Arabidopsis thaliana: one gene and its partners. The protein of the gene in region 3 interacts with the protein of the main gene of each other region in a pairwise test. Each region holds a gene or a part of one and is shown on either strand. Other genes may lie near its edges.

Evidence for each region.
Region 1: the proteins of AT1G47330 (region 3) and PLC9 interact in a protein complementation assay, tested with the Arabidopsis thaliana proteins (one large-scale study listed by BioGRID).
Region 2: the proteins of AT1G47330 (region 3) and Cand8 interact in a protein complementation assay, tested with the Arabidopsis thaliana proteins (one large-scale study listed by BioGRID).

Annotation. Positions count from the first base shown.
Region 1 is NC_003074.8:17,386,287-17,391,463, reverse strand, and holds PLC9 (phosphatidylinositol-speciwc phospholipase C9), read right to left. Parts: upstream 3,582-5,177; 5' UTR 3,346-3,581; coding exon 3,037-3,345; intron 2,916-3,036; coding exon 2,716-2,915; intron 2,635-2,715; coding exon 2,496-2,634; intron 2,411-2,495; coding exon 2,112-2,410; intron 1,994-2,111; coding exon 1,873-1,993; intron 1,715-1,872; coding exon 1,565-1,714; intron 1,487-1,564; coding exon 1,403-1,486; intron 1,315-1,402; coding exon 1,021-1,314; 3' UTR 504-1,020; downstream 1-503. Other genes in the region: AT3G47210 (hypothetical protein (DUF247)), read right to left, coding at 4,495-5,177. UniProt on the Arabidopsis thaliana protein: The production of the second messenger molecules diacylglycerol (DAG) and inositol 1,4,5-trisphosphate (IP3) is mediated by activated phosphatidylinositol-specific phospholipase C enzymes.
Region 2 is NC_003076.8:9,571,563-9,575,892, forward strand, and holds Cand8 (Protein of unknown function, transmembrane-40), read right to left. Parts: upstream 2,574-4,330; 5' UTR 2,514-2,573; coding exon 2,238-2,513; intron 1,795-2,237; coding exon 1,603-1,794; intron 1,442-1,602; coding exon 1,279-1,441; intron 1,189-1,278; coding exon 1,086-1,188; intron 1,002-1,085; coding exon 920-1,001; intron 849-919; coding exon 771-848; 3' UTR 504-770; downstream 1-503. Other genes in the region: ACP5 (acyl carrier protein 5), read left to right, coding at 1-14, 99-221, 299-427. UniProt on the Arabidopsis thaliana protein: G-protein coupled receptor. Plays a role in plants and microbes interactions.
Region 3 is NC_003070.9:17,349,053-17,354,395, forward strand, and holds AT1G47330 (methyltransferase, putative (DUF21)), read left to right. Parts: upstream 1-1,969; 5' UTR 1,970-2,096; coding exon 2,097-2,274; intron 2,275-2,359; exon of another isoform or gene 2,360-2,390; coding exon 2,391-2,467; intron 2,468-2,550; coding exon 2,551-2,634; intron 2,635-2,726; coding exon 2,727-2,840; intron 2,841-2,958; coding exon 2,959-3,045; intron 3,046-3,199; coding exon 3,200-3,339; intron 3,340-3,442; coding exon 3,443-3,530; intron 3,531-3,607; coding exon 3,608-3,681; intron 3,682-3,772; coding exon 3,773-3,990; intron 3,991-4,070; coding exon 4,071-4,297; intron 4,298-4,390; coding exon 4,391-4,687; 3' UTR 4,688-4,823; downstream 4,824-5,343. Other genes in the region: AT1G47340 (F-box and associated interaction domains-containing protein), read right to left, coding at 5,071-5,343.

The DNA.
Region 1 (5,177 bases), on a different chromosome or scaffold from region 3:
CTCTTGCTTCTCTCTCTCATCTTCTTGCACTTTCTTGTTCTTATCCCAAGCTTTGAGTCTTTCAGGTACGACATCATTTTATTGGATCATTACTCTTACTTCATTGGTGGTTTTTGTTGGTCTAAAGAATTTAATTATATCAATATTCTAGTTTGCATTGACAATGCAAAATCTTATAGCTTAAAGTTTATTTAATCTACATTTCTCCGATTAAAGATCGCCGGTGACTATTTTTAAACTCTGATGAATGATAAGACCGAGGTAAAGTCACGAGTTTTACGTATAATCTAGGAAAATGGAAAACAATGTGACATAAAACGAGAAAGTCACTAGATGATGAAAACTTAACGGTCAGAAGATGACCAAGCAAATAGTGACATGTGGCCTAGCATTGTCACCACATTTGTCAATGTTGGAACTAGATCCACTATGAAAAAAATCCAAAACCAATAGACCAAATAAGATCTGCTATGAAAAATAGGATACCTGGAGGCTGGAGTACTCGGAACTAGATCCGCTTTTATTTTTACTTTTACAAATATATTTTTAACATGACCACAAAATGAAGAATGACTAATTTACTTCATCACTAAGTTTCAGTTCCATCAAAAGTTGTTACCCTGAACGGCTGAACCTAAGAAAGTATGCCCCCCAAAAAAATGTATATGTTTTGAACCAAGCTCGAGAAGAACTTGCAGAAGAATGAAAAATAGTTTTTGAAATAAAAAGACAGTAATTCAGTAAAAGAAATTCAAAAATAAAAGTGAAAGAAACTTGAAGTGACAACAAATAACAGGAAAAAGAGAAAACTTTATTTTCGTCTCCAAAGTAAAATGCCAATGCCAAGTTTTTCTGGACCAAATACCTTATTTCCGTATCACAATCTAAGCTTGCCTAAACCCTTTCCCCCTTCCAGGTGGAACTTGAACTAGGGGTCCTAGAAAGCGTAACTTTGAAAGGTTTTAAGAAACACCACTAGATCAAGAGCCGCCACTTGGTAATGAGAAAGAAACTTGTACGCTAAGACCACTTAAAACGTGTGAGCAGCATTGTCGAGCTGCATGCCTTACCTCGCTCATCATAGAGCGGAACAGCACGAATTCCTTCTATTAGTTCAGAAACCGGTAGACAAGTCTGACCACAAAAATAATCTGGAGTTGATACTTCGTAGTCATAAACTTCAAAACTAATCAAAGCAAGGTCAGGATAGGTCAAGGGAAATGTGAATTCTTCTCCCCAAGTAGGTTTCCATTCGTTGTTTTTCACTGTCGTGTTCATAATCTTCTCATCATGGGGTACACCGGCAATACTGATCTGTGCATTTGCGATTAAAGAACCAAAATCAAACTCATTTCCATACCCAAGAAATTAAAGTATCATCTCCTGATTTAGATTTTTGTACCCTAACGTATAAGTCCGGCTTAGACAGTCGACCTATCCGCTTCTTGAAGTCCACAATCCATCCATCTCCCATGTAGATTTTGACCTGCAAGATATAATGTCATCACCCATCCTAAGTGAGAAATAGAACCATAGTATAATTGTTGTAGGATGACAAACAAACCTTTAATGTCTTCACCACCACTGGATTCTCTGTTGGATAGAAAACTCCACTAGAACCTGCATTCAAAAGGAAATTCGGCTTCTTGACGTAACCGCACCCTCCATTTGCTCTAAACATCCCTTGCATCAACCAAAGTTTTTCTTTGTCGTCCTGTAGTACAACATAATGTATTCATGAAACTGATTCCAATAGGTAAGCTCTCCACACAATGCGTACATGCTTGTGCAACCAGTACTGGTTATGAGCAAGAGAAACCAGATAAAGAGAGAGAGAGAGAGAGAGAGAGAAAGAAACGTTTAGAGTCACACCTGCCTGCTTAGTGCAATCATTTGTGCACCGTGCATCCAAGCTCTCTGAGGTTTATAAGGGGGGTTGCTCAACAAGTTGCGTTTTTTTGGACGTGTCCGCAAGAATTTATTTTGGGTGAAGCTGTTTATTGTCAAGAATTTCCTAATCAGTTATATTTTAGTATTTGAGAGGCAACTACTCTCAACATGTTGAGTAAGGGTTTTGGTATGTAGTATAAACTTATTTAACTCAACAATACCTTATAACATCTCTTTCGTACCATCCTGGTTGTTGGACGTCGTCTGTTAATGCTTTTTGTAGCATGCCTCTTGGTTCCACTGCATGAAAGCCAACAACACTCTGGTAATTCTTATCTGTTGACCCCTCTTGTATCTCAAGCTCAACCCCATTCTCAACGGCTTTAGCATATAACAATTTTGTTGGTGGTCTTCGTGATATTAATATCTTATTTTGTAGTTCTGCTGGTGAAGGAAATTCCTCCAAGCTTTGTTGGGGGTCTTCGTGGTATACCATATCACCAAATGTCTGATCTATCATCTACATATGCAACAATATATCATACCAAAAGAATTAGAATACGTAATAATATGAGAAAAACGAGGAGAAAAAGAACATTATAAACCTGAGTAACTTTGGATTGAAGATCCGGTTTCAAGCTGTCCTTGATCGTAATTATCACGGGATAACTCCTCGTGGGGGTAAAGGCATGCTGTTTGATAGCATCCAAACACTCTTGCAATTCTAGAGGCTTTTCAAAGTTCCTATCAAGTTCATAATTAAACCAGAAGCTCAAAGCAAGCTGTATAAGTTTTCATGAAGTAAAGAGGCAGAACAGAATATACCATTTTGGCCTAACGCATATGCCGTCTTTACCAAAAGGCAAAAGATCTAGTTCAACCACTCTCACACCTTGTTTAAGTGCATCAATGATGGGCTCAATGCTGTATAATCTCCCAAAGACATTATTTCCCGTAAAGTAGGATTTGAGGCTAGTGTGAATGAAGTAATGCGATAGTGGAGCATTCATGTCACGATGACGAACCTGAAGAACAGAAACCTAACTCTTACAAAATGTGTTCTTATTTCCAAAAACAAACCAGAAGTAACGACCAACCTATTTCTTTGGTTAATTTTGGAACAGAAAAAAAAGAAAGAAATATCACCTGGTCACTGATCGGGGGATTGAGCTCCGTAGAAAACAGAAACTCGTTCAAGTGAGGAAGCTCGAGAATCGTCAAGTTGCGGAACTTAAGAATATCACATTTTCGGCTTTTTAACTCCCTATCGATTTGCTCTGCAGCGTTCAAGCCGGCACCGTCTTCGTCCTTCTCAGTATCCAACAATTTGATGAACGTAGGTAGCAAATTCGGCATATCGTCATCATATCCATGATATTTATTCCTGAAATAATTTGGGACGCGACCCGGCTGATTCGCCTGTTTCATCTCAAACTTCTTTCTTAAATTCACCATATTGTGAAAAATGGACGAAACCAAAGTATCCCTCGCTTTTTTTAGTTGGTCAACCTAAGACGACTTCAAGAAAGATTTTGCGGTTTGTGAGGTACAAGCAAGCATAGATCCAATGGATAATTGCTAACCCATTTTCTCCTTACATCATTGACCCTCAAGTGTTTTTTCTTTTCTTTTTGAAATTTAAATAGTTAAAATTGGTTTCATTGGTTTGTCTTTTTTTTTGTTTTGTTTATGCGTTGGGCTCATGTGTTTCTGTTGGAACGTCACCGTGGGAACATGATGTGTATTATTAACTTTTTGTTTTGATTGGTTTGTACGTAGTTTTTTTAATAATGTGCCAGTTGTTTTAGACTATGTACTATGATTTTATTTTTTTAACACTTCACCTAATCTTTTCTTTTATCTATCTATTAATTCAATATGTAATCAATAATTTTGTTTAGTAAATATCAACATGTATCATACTTTACCATTTTATTACATAGTAATCATCAACATCCTAGTTGGCTTGTTTACCACTTTTACTTTTATTTTCTTTTGTGTATATGTTTTATGATTATATATTAATAATAATTATCGATTAAAATTAAGTTAAATTAAAAAGGTTATCGTTCAAATCCATTTCACTAAAAAAATGAGTTTTTTTGTCCTATATTCAAATCAAATGCAACAACTCTCTCTTTATAAAATGAAAATGATGAATTTTGATATAAGAAAAATAGAGACTCGACTTCGATAAAGTTTTGGACTTCACTGAAAATTAGCATGAAGTTATATCCCGTTCACCCTAAGTCAGGGCAGCTGCATGACAAGTTCAAGACTTCTCATAGCGCAAGATAATCGAGAAGACAAAGCAAAGTCAAATTTATTTCATCAAAGGAAAGTAGAAAAGCTTTATTTCATGCAAATTAACAAGAGTAACAAAATACTTAAATACATATATAGGATAACATCATAAAACGAAAAAGATAGCAATAACACAAGTTACACAACTGATAAAAAACAGGGAACAATGATGTTTCTGTAGAAGATAAAAACGACTTTAATTCCATTGTTTCTACATAAGCTCGAGCATGTTTGCTTTGCCTGGAGGACGTTCCATCATGCGGTTTTGCTGTTGCTGTTGCTAAGGTAGAAGAATGGTATTTAGAATCGATAAATTGGACGAAAGCGCAATGCCACAAAATTTCTTGGTGACAGTAAAAAACTTCGACATATTGAGTACCATTTTGAGGTGTTCTCGTTAATTTCCACAAACACATTCCGTAAATAACTTGCATGTATGTCAAACACTACATCTTTACATATAGTTTTGAAGAACTTTGATACCTCCTTCTCGCTGCCAAAGTAGTTCTCTATGATCCGGCGACGACTTAAGAATGTGGCATCTTCCTTGCCGTTTAGAAGGCATCCCATGAAAACCACATAGCTTGTTATGTGGTTGGTACTCTTTGCGTAAAATTGTTCAAAGGCGACGCAATTGAGCAAGATTGAGATAATGAACCCATCCAATCTTAACACTGGTATTTGAAGCCTGTTCTTCTTTAACCTTATATCTAACATCGAATCTGCACCACTCCTTAAACTGAAATCTATTCCTTGGAGAGAAAGTCTTGTAGCCGACAATAGCAATGTAAGACCGGAGGATGATTTCTTTCTAGATTTACCCTTAGTGAGTTGGAAATCTTCGTATCCATCCATAGGTAAGAAGCTCATACGAATGAGGTCAAGAAGATGTTTTGCGTTGAAGTTTCTGTGTTTGACCCAATATCTTTCTGGTTTATCCATTGAGAGGTTGAAGAAGCTAAAAGCCATCCTGTTTAGATCAC
Region 2 (4,330 bases), on a different chromosome or scaffold from region 3:
CAGTTTCTTGTGCAGTATGTTGATTTAACTCTATATTTCTTCGACTTTCTTGAGGCTGTTTGAATATATTTGGTAATGTGGTATATATGTGGTTTAAGGTCAAGCAAGAGACAGTAGAGAAAGTGTCTGAGATTGTCAAGAAGCAATTGTCGCTCACCGATGATCAAAAAGTCACTGCCGGAACTAAATTTACCGAGCTTGGAGCTGATTCTCTCGACACGGTAAATATCATCTCATTGTATTGTATCTCAGAGCTCATTGGACATCATCATCAACAAATTCTGCTTTCTTTTTGCAGGTTGAGATAGTGATGGGTTTGGAGGAAGAGTTCGGGATAACAATGGCGGAAGAGAGAGCAAAGGAGATTGCAACAGTCCAACAGGCTGCTGAACTCATTGAAGAACTCGTCCAAGAGAAGACTGCTTAGTTAAGGAAACAACCAAAGGCTTTTGTCTTTTGTTATTGCCGTTTGCTCAATTGTGTCATGCTTTGTTGTATGTCTTAATTTGCCCTAGTGGTTTATTATGTCAATCTTTAGACTACTACAAAACTTTCTTTTAGATTATCAGCTTAAGGAACAAAGAGATTCACAAGACATTTTGGATTTATAAAAGAGAAAGAAACATGAGGAAAAAGTACAGACATACAAAAGACTAGACCCTAAAATGTAACCCGCCAAAGCCGGAAAAAGCAGCCATGACTTCTAGGAGATCCTACCCAACGTGTATTTACAGATTGAGAAAATGAGGAAGATGTTTGTTACCCTAGTCCTATTCCCAATCAGAGTCGAAAAATCCAGCATCCTTCATCTCTGAGTAGTATACATTCTCCAAGTTCAAATCTTCTTCCTGCAGCAAACCCATTTGCATTTTAGAGAGAGTGAGAGAGTCAGTGAGAGAAGATGAATGATGATGATTACCTGGAAAAAGTCTGCGAGGAACGTTATGTAAAGAAGAGGAAGGTATAATGCGTGGTAGCAAACACTCATGATCCCATATAACCTGCAAGTATTTTGAGTTAAAAGGCAGATACAAGCTGAACATAAGACAATATTCTCTGTTGGGATGGTTTCAGATAAGAGTTACCAGAAACCAAAATGCGCGTTGTTTGCGGTAAACGCAGATGCAACTAGGTAAAGGCTGTATAAGGCGAACATGATGATTATGTAGTTGTAGAATGCAGGCCTTGCTGTTAGAAACAAGAAGACATGAATGATGATAAATAGAAAGAAACCAGTGGAGGCTATTATGGGAAGATAGAAGCGTCTGATCAACTTACCAGGCAATTTTTCTCTCCACCTAGAGTTGTACATCAAGAACACCATCCCATAAACGCCAGTGAGTAGAAGCTTATGAATGATCCATAAGCCCCATTTGAACGTTTTTCCATTTTCATTGTTGTCAATAAACAATGGCACTCCAAATCCAAAGAGAAAAATTGCCTGAATGAAGGTAAAACCCGTAAGGACTACAGAAATGGTAAGGCCTAATTCATATCAGAAAGTTTGGCAAAAGCAAAAGGAAGATCCTAAACTTGTCATTTCACCATATCTAAGATTTGTTCAGAAATGAGAAGGTATAAGAGTAGACAAAGTAGAGATACCTTGAGAAGCAAATCAAGAGCAACAATAAAACCCGAGATTAGGAACGTTCTAGTTAATGCTTCTGCACCGCTTGCATAGTTTCCTTGGAAGAGAAAAGCCACCAAGCTTACTTCCAGAAACAACATTCCAGATGTTGTGAACAAAGTTAACAGATTCCAAACAACTTCTTTCCCAGGAGTACATTCCCAACCCTATAATCAAATCCGGAAACATGATAATCAAATCAAAAGCTAACCTAGGAATATGTAAATAGATACAAGGATCACTAGCTCATTTCCATAAACCGTGATTACAATTATGATCTTCCTAACAACCCACATCTTATACCAATACAGTAACATTAAATACTTACTTCTGACCAAATTCAAGTTTCACCAACCTAGAATAGTCTTTAATATGCTCATTCATCAACAAAGTTGTCATCTTTCTGAAACATTCATTCATTACTCAATAACCTATCCAGAAACACTAAATACTATGATTTCATTCCTAACCTTATGACCAAAAAGTTTCTAATTTGAGTTTCACAGAACCTAGAAATAGTCTTAAAATACTCATCATTCAATCAAAGTTTTGATCTTTCTTAAAAAAATCTTTGTAATTCAATCAAAGTTGTGATATTTTATTAACAAACCTGGAGACAGCACCAAGCAAGATTGAGCAAGCTAACAAGCCAAAGACAACCATAATAAGCAATCATGATATAAGATCTCCGATTCGAGAGTTTAGACAGACTCTTCTTCGCTTCGTAAGCTAAGTAAGCGACGAAGAAGAGAGAAGCCGCAACGAGAACCGTGTTATGTAAGAATCCATGGCACTTATCGACCCATCTATATCCATTGGCTGTCGAATTAGGGTTTAGCGGTGAAATCAGAAATGGTGACTCTGCAATTTCGTCGAGAACTCGCATTTCATCAATGGTTACGAATCAGATAACAGAGCTAGAGCAAGGAGGAGCGAAACTGGATTTTGGAAACCTAATAAATTTGGTTTCTGACCAAATCCAAACATTGAGGTTGAAATTAGTAAATATAAGATAGTTTTGGACCTTAATGTAAATTAAACGAAGGACCTCTTCTTCTCAACAGTTTTCCGAGAAACCACTAACTAATTATTGTCTTAAAAAGACCCTCAACCACTTAAATTGAAATTACAGTAGAAACTCTATAAATTAATATTCGATAAATTAATAAATATGATAAATTAATATATTATGTCGGTTCCAATTCGGACCAATGTAAAAATTGACCAAAATCGATAAGATAATAAGATAATAATTTTCTTGAAATCTCTATGTCAAAATATGGTCCAGTAATATCATAAATTAATAATTACTAATCTTAAACATACTTTTAAAAATAATCTAGTATAATATGACTTTCGTTATATTTGTCTTTTCTTAAAATTTGAATCTCTTTGAAGTTCATCTCTAATTTTTTTTATTGCATCAAAAACTCTTGGTGTTGTCTTTTCGATATACATACAAAAGTTATGAAGAGTTCTAGACGCGATAATTGCTTCCTTACGTGTCACTATTTCAGAAAGTTTCACATTATCGTCTTCAAGTTCTTCACCAACATTATAGACAGAAATCATAATTTCTTCTAAAAACTCTGAATTTTTAAGTATGCTTCATTTGCACCTAGATATTCGAGTTGTCTATTGACATTTATTCTATTTTGAAAGAAAATAGTGTTGTATTTTGCTTAAATATTTCTATAAATTGATAAATATTAATTTATCCTATAAAATAATATTTATTAATTTATAGGATAAATTAATATCACTATAAATTAATAAAATTTCATGATCCCAATATTATTCATTTATAGAGTTTCTACTGTAGCTGATATTTGAAATCTCAGATTTATACACATGTTATAGTTGTTAAATTCACTTCATATACTATAGCTGCTAATTATATTTATATTAAAAAAAAACAATGAAATCAAAACTTGGATATACAACAGTGAATAAATATTTTTGTAACATGCTAAATCAAGCCTTGAACAGTAGGGGTCGGATGTTGACTGGTAGCAATTCTGCGGAGTAAACAAGACATTGAGGAGTACGCAACAAGTGACTTGAGATGCAAGTAACATGGAATATGTGATTGCATACTGTTTTGTAAGAAAAAACTCCTCTTCTTTGGGATAACCTTTTTCACAAAGAAAGCACAATTCTCTACCCCGGTAACCATCTACGAGTTTCTTCGTGGTTGGACTTTGGAGCTATTAGCCGTACAAATGTATCTCCAACGGCATCTTTTACATCCAACATAGTGTCTGCGAGTCTTAACACATTCATATGAGCTTCATGATATGTGAGGTAAGAAGATTCATGTAGTAACCATAAATTTAACGAGATAAAGAGTTTTGGTCTTGTGCGATAATGGTGTTTTACATGAATGGATTCAAGGGAAGTTGATGTGTCATCTTCTTATTAAGGTCTATTTAGCTATATGTGGACGAAAGAGATGTCTCGATCAAAATGGTTTCTCTTCGTTGAACATGGATCACATGATTATGCATCTTTGATTGTTGTTTCCTTTTACAAGACATTCTCCTCTTTTTTTTCGTTCTATGTTTTAAGAACCGGCTTATATATTAACGAGTCACAAGACTCACAACTGAGTTGTGCATGTGAACCAAGTGGTAGAAGACTTTTTTTGTTCCAAAAGTAAAAGCAAACAAAATCATCCAATAATTGACTTAAATCTCAAACAGG
Region 3 (5,343 bases):
GTTTATAAACTCTAAACGATAAACTGATCATCCTCACATCAAAAACATGACGGCATTGAGAAGAACAATCTCCATCATTTTCGTTTTCTATCTCTCATGTTAGCTTCTCACTCAGTCACTCTATATACTACATATCTCTTACATTTTGATTAATCGATCTATAAGACCTAATAAAATATGGTATGTGTTTGCAATTAATAGGTACGTTGTTCGTGAATATCTTTGGAGTTCAAGCCAGAAATTTATGCAAGACAGATGAAGATTGTGTGTTGCGATGTCAAGATCCAGGTGCGAACTGTATTCTTGGAATATGCCATTGTTCGCGCCAACAAGTTGAGACTGAGCTGACCAAGGTGATAAGATGCAAGACTGATCGTGATTGTCCTGATTCTCATCAATGCCCTAAAGATTATTATTATGCTTGCCTTAATAATGGAGAATGTACTTGTATCTCTGTTTGAGAAACCTTAAACCACTCTAACAAATAAAAGAGAAACCTTAAACCATGATTGTTCAGATTCTCATCAATGCCCTCTATTCAATATACTAAACCTTTAAATAGAACTAAAGCTCACCCTATATACAATATTCAAAGAAAATAATAGGGTGGGTTAAACCGCCAGCTGGATGCTTGAAGATTAACACGGATGGTGCGTCACGTGGGAATCCGGGGCTGGCAACCGCTGGAGGAGTGCTACAGGATAATGAGGGGCGATGGTGTGGCGGTTTCTCTTTGAATATTGGGAGAAGCTCGGCACCAATGGCGGAACTGTGGGGAGCATATTACGGTCTCTACTTAGCTTGGGAGAGGAAATCATCACATATAGAGTTGGAAGTAGACTCGGAGATAGTAGTTGGTTTTTTGAAGACAGGGATAAGTGATCATCATCCACTGTCTTTCCTGGTACGTTTGTGCCATGGCTTCATATCGAAAGATTGGAGAGTCCGAATTTTTCACGTGTATAGGGAAGCTAATCGTTTTGCTGATGGATTAGCGAACTATGTTTTTTCTTTACCACTTGGGTTTCATTTTGTTCCGAATGTTGTTGATTTATTTTGGAAAGAGGATAACCTTGGGGTAACATGTCCAAGGCAAATCCCAGTCCATTAGGTTTGTTTTCTTAAGTTACTTTGAATAGAACGGGAGGCTCCGCGGCCCGATCGCTTACCAAAAAAAAATATTCAAAAAAAATAATTATAAATATAAAAATCAAAAAATATATTATAAAATCAGAACGTTAAACAGAAACATCCATGTGAAAATCAATATAATGTTAAATCATAAATAGAAGTTAAACATAAATATTCATTCAAAAAAATATAAATCTTTATAACTATGTATATGAAGTCCAAAAATATAAATCTTTATAATTATGTATATGAAAAAGTTGAAGAAAAGTGTAAACGAATGAAGCCTTTTAAATCAGTAAATGGCTTCATTTTTTTCTCTCCCTTGTTGAACATTTGTGCATGTTTATTTGGTTTGAGTTATGTGTAATTTTTTTGTCCTTTATGTAGCACTCAGTTTCAGTTTCGGTTAAGACCTATTTCAATCTATACAATTTTTGTCATACTTTTTTTACACCAACTTTGATACTCTTAACATGAACGTGTTTTGGTGTGGCAAATTTTTATTCCCATCATATCGATCTCTAATTTGTTTAACAAAAATTAATAAGAAACTTTTATTCGACCTAATTTTTACTAGCACGGAACAAATTTATATATATGCACTTGGAATGACGTAATTGAATATATGAATGGAAGTTAGGATACCAAAATAACTATGTAGTATTTGAATCTTACTAGCTCACTCGATGAGAATGGAAGTAGGGGTACCAAAATAAAAAATTTGGTCCACCACAACCAGATTGGTAAAATTCGACCGGACATTTATTCCGGTTAGATCTCAAAAACAATATTAAATAAATACCCAATAAGGAAAGTCGAAATTAATGCGTTTGATAAAAGATGATCGTCTGAATTAGATACGCACTAAAACATCAAAGAGTCACTCTAAACTCATCTCTCTCGCCGAATTCTCCCCAACAATTTCCGCCGGAAACAAATTCTCAGATTCCGGTAACTCTAAAACTATGTCATCGGATATTCCGTGCTGCGGAACCACGTTCTCGCTCTACGTCGTGATAATCATAGCTCTTGTAGCGTTCGCTGGCTTGATGGCTGGTTTAACTCTTGGTCTCATGTCTCTCGGTTTAGTCGACCTCGAAGTTCTCATCAAATCTGGCCGTCCTCAAGATCGAATCAACGCCGGTGAGTGCTTCAACTTGATGACGATTCTGTTGAATTTTGAAGATTCTGTTCTTTAGCTGATTTTATGATTTTTAATTGTACATAGCAATTGAAGAACATGTGTATTTGATTGTTAGGTAAGATATTTCCAGTAGTGAAGAATCAGCATCTGTTGCTATGTACACTTTTGATCGGAAACTCTATGGCTATGGAGGTGATACTTGATTTTTTGGTTTCTATGTATTTGAAGCAGAGACTTGTATATATAATGGTGTTGATGATCTCTTTTTATTGTAGGCTTTACCAATATTTTTGGATAAAATTGTGCCTCCTTGGTTAGCTATTCTTCTTTCAGTGACTCTTATACTGGTGTTTGGAGAGGTTTTATATCTGTTACCTATAGTTTTGATATACTTTTGTTTTCCATTTTTACAGTTTGTGATTATAGTTTCTCTGCTGTTGAGTATCTGCAGATAATGCCACAAGCAGTTTGTACTCGATACGGGCTTAAGGTTGGAGCGATAATGGCTCCTTTTGTTCGTGTTCTTCTTGTACTGTTCTTCCCAATTTCATATCCAATCAGTAAGGTAGAGAGTCAGATTTTCTGTTTTGAAAAATCAGCTTGTGTAATCCCTTTTCTGGCTTGATTGAAATGCTCGGCTAAATCTTGATGTTTCTCTGTTTTGGTAAACATTGTTGCTTCAGGTTCTTGATTGGATGTTGGGTAAGGGACATGGAGTTCTTTTACGGAGAGCAGAGCTAAAGACATTTGTGAATTTCCATGGAAATGAGGTATGCAGCTAGTGATGTTTGCTATGACCTTGGAATTGAAAACTGAAGCTGTGTTGTCCTCCATATTAAATAGTTCCAGATGTGTCGCTGAACCGTTGTGTCTCTTAGAGCCAACTTTTCTGACAGACTTTTGTATATAATTCTTGTTTACTAGGCTGGGAAAGGTGGAGATCTAACAACCGATGAGACTTCAATCATCACAGGTGCACTTGAATTAACTGAAAAGACGGCAAAAGATGCAATGACTCCCATATCGAATGCATTTTCCCTTGAGCTTGATACACCTCTTAATTTGTGGGTTCTTTTTTTTTTGTTTTGCTTCCATCATCTTCTATTTACTCTTATTCAGTTTACTTAAATATTTTGACCTTATAATCTGCTTTCATCCACAATACAGGGAAACTTTAAATACAATTATGTCAGTTGGTCATAGCAGAGTTCCAGTTTATTTCAGAAATCCCACACATATAATTGGGCTCATTCTGGTACCTATCTTTCATATGGACTTTGTTTTTGTATTGTCTAGCTTCACAGCATGTAATGTCCCCTTTTGCTGATGCAGGTTAAAAATCTATTGGCAGTTGATGCCAGAAAGGAAGTTCCTCTGAGAAAAATGTCCATGAGAAAAATTCCACGGTAAATGACTCTCTAAAGCTAACTTTCTTTCTTTACGACCAGGATTTAATGCATACACAGAGTTCATGTTTATACTATTTATTTCCTCCAGTGTCTCTGAGACCATGCCACTATATGATATCTTAAACGAGTTCCAGAAGGGTCACAGTCACATAGCAGTTGTTTACAAGGATCTTGACGAGCAGGAGCAATCTCCCGAAACAAGTGAAAATGGTATTGAGCGCAGAAAAAACAAGAAAACGAAAGACGAACTTTTTAAGGACAGTTGTAGGAAACCAAAAGCTCAGTTTGAGGTATCGGAGAAGGAAGGTGTGTCTCGGCATAACTTAGCGACGTTCCATAAATAAACATGAGAACACATGTTAGCCTAATTTTCTTTGGAATTGTAGTATTCAAAATTGAAACCGGAGATGCAAAATCCGGCAAGAGTGAGAACGGTGAGGAGCAGCAAGGGTCAGGGAAAACAAGTCTATTGGCTGCTCCAGCTAAGAAGCGACATAGAGGCTGTTCGTTCTGCATTTTGGACATTGAGAATACTCCCATACCTGATTTTCCTACCAATGAGGAGGTTGTAGGAGTTATCACCATGGAGGATGTTATCGAAGAGCTTCTTCAGGTAACTCAAACCGAAGCATGAGCATCTGCTTTAGTTATTAGCATTAGAGAAGTAAAGAATCATAGGCATTCTTTTTTTGCTCTGATTTTTCAGGAAGAGATCCTTGACGAAACCGATGAGTATGTGAACATCCACAACAGGATAAGAGTCAACATGCATGCTTCTCCAGAGAATCTACCAAGCGTGATAACCTCAATCACGCAATCATCATCGGGTTCCACTAGTCCCAACCAAACATCTCATATGGCCACACCAGATTCAAGTCCTACAACAAAACCATCAAATTCAAGTCCTACAAGAAAACCTTCAGTATCGAGTCCTACGAGAGAGCCTTCAGATTCTTCACACTCCATGGCTCCAAAACATGAAGAGTCCACCCAAACTTTATGATGATCATATATGAGTGAAGATAGATTAGCTATGTATCCTTAAAAGATGACTTCTTTAACAGAATCGTTTGTGTGTTTGAGATTAAGACTGGTTAATAGTTTCTTTGTAATGAAAAGGATGGATCTTTTACCAAAAGAAAGAAAAAAAGCTAATACTAAACTACAAAAGTTCTTCTTGGTGGTAACATTCTACTTTAACAAAACAAAGAAACGACAGAGCCTTTTGGCCAGACAGAGTTACTGCAATCTCTGCTACAAGACACTCATAGATAATTACTGATTTAGTACTTATGAGAGACAGAATTTACCAGCTAAACTTCACTTCACAACTAAAGAACGTAACCTCATAGATAAGCACCAAAAGACATGACCATTGCTTTTACCCTAACTCCATTGATCTTCTTCTTCTTTTTCTTGATCTTCATCTTCATCTTCTTCTTCTTCCTCTTCCCATTCTATCTTCGCATTTGGACCATCATAGATTTTGGACTTCAGCAGCTTTGGTTCGTCAACATTCAGATACTCAACATGGTCAGCAAAACGGTAGAAACTACTGCAATCATCTACAAAGACGCGGACTCTGCTACGCCTGTCGAATGTTCCATGGTGTTCTTCAAAGCCTTGAATTTCAGTACATTGGAGTGTGTTCCTTTCGGG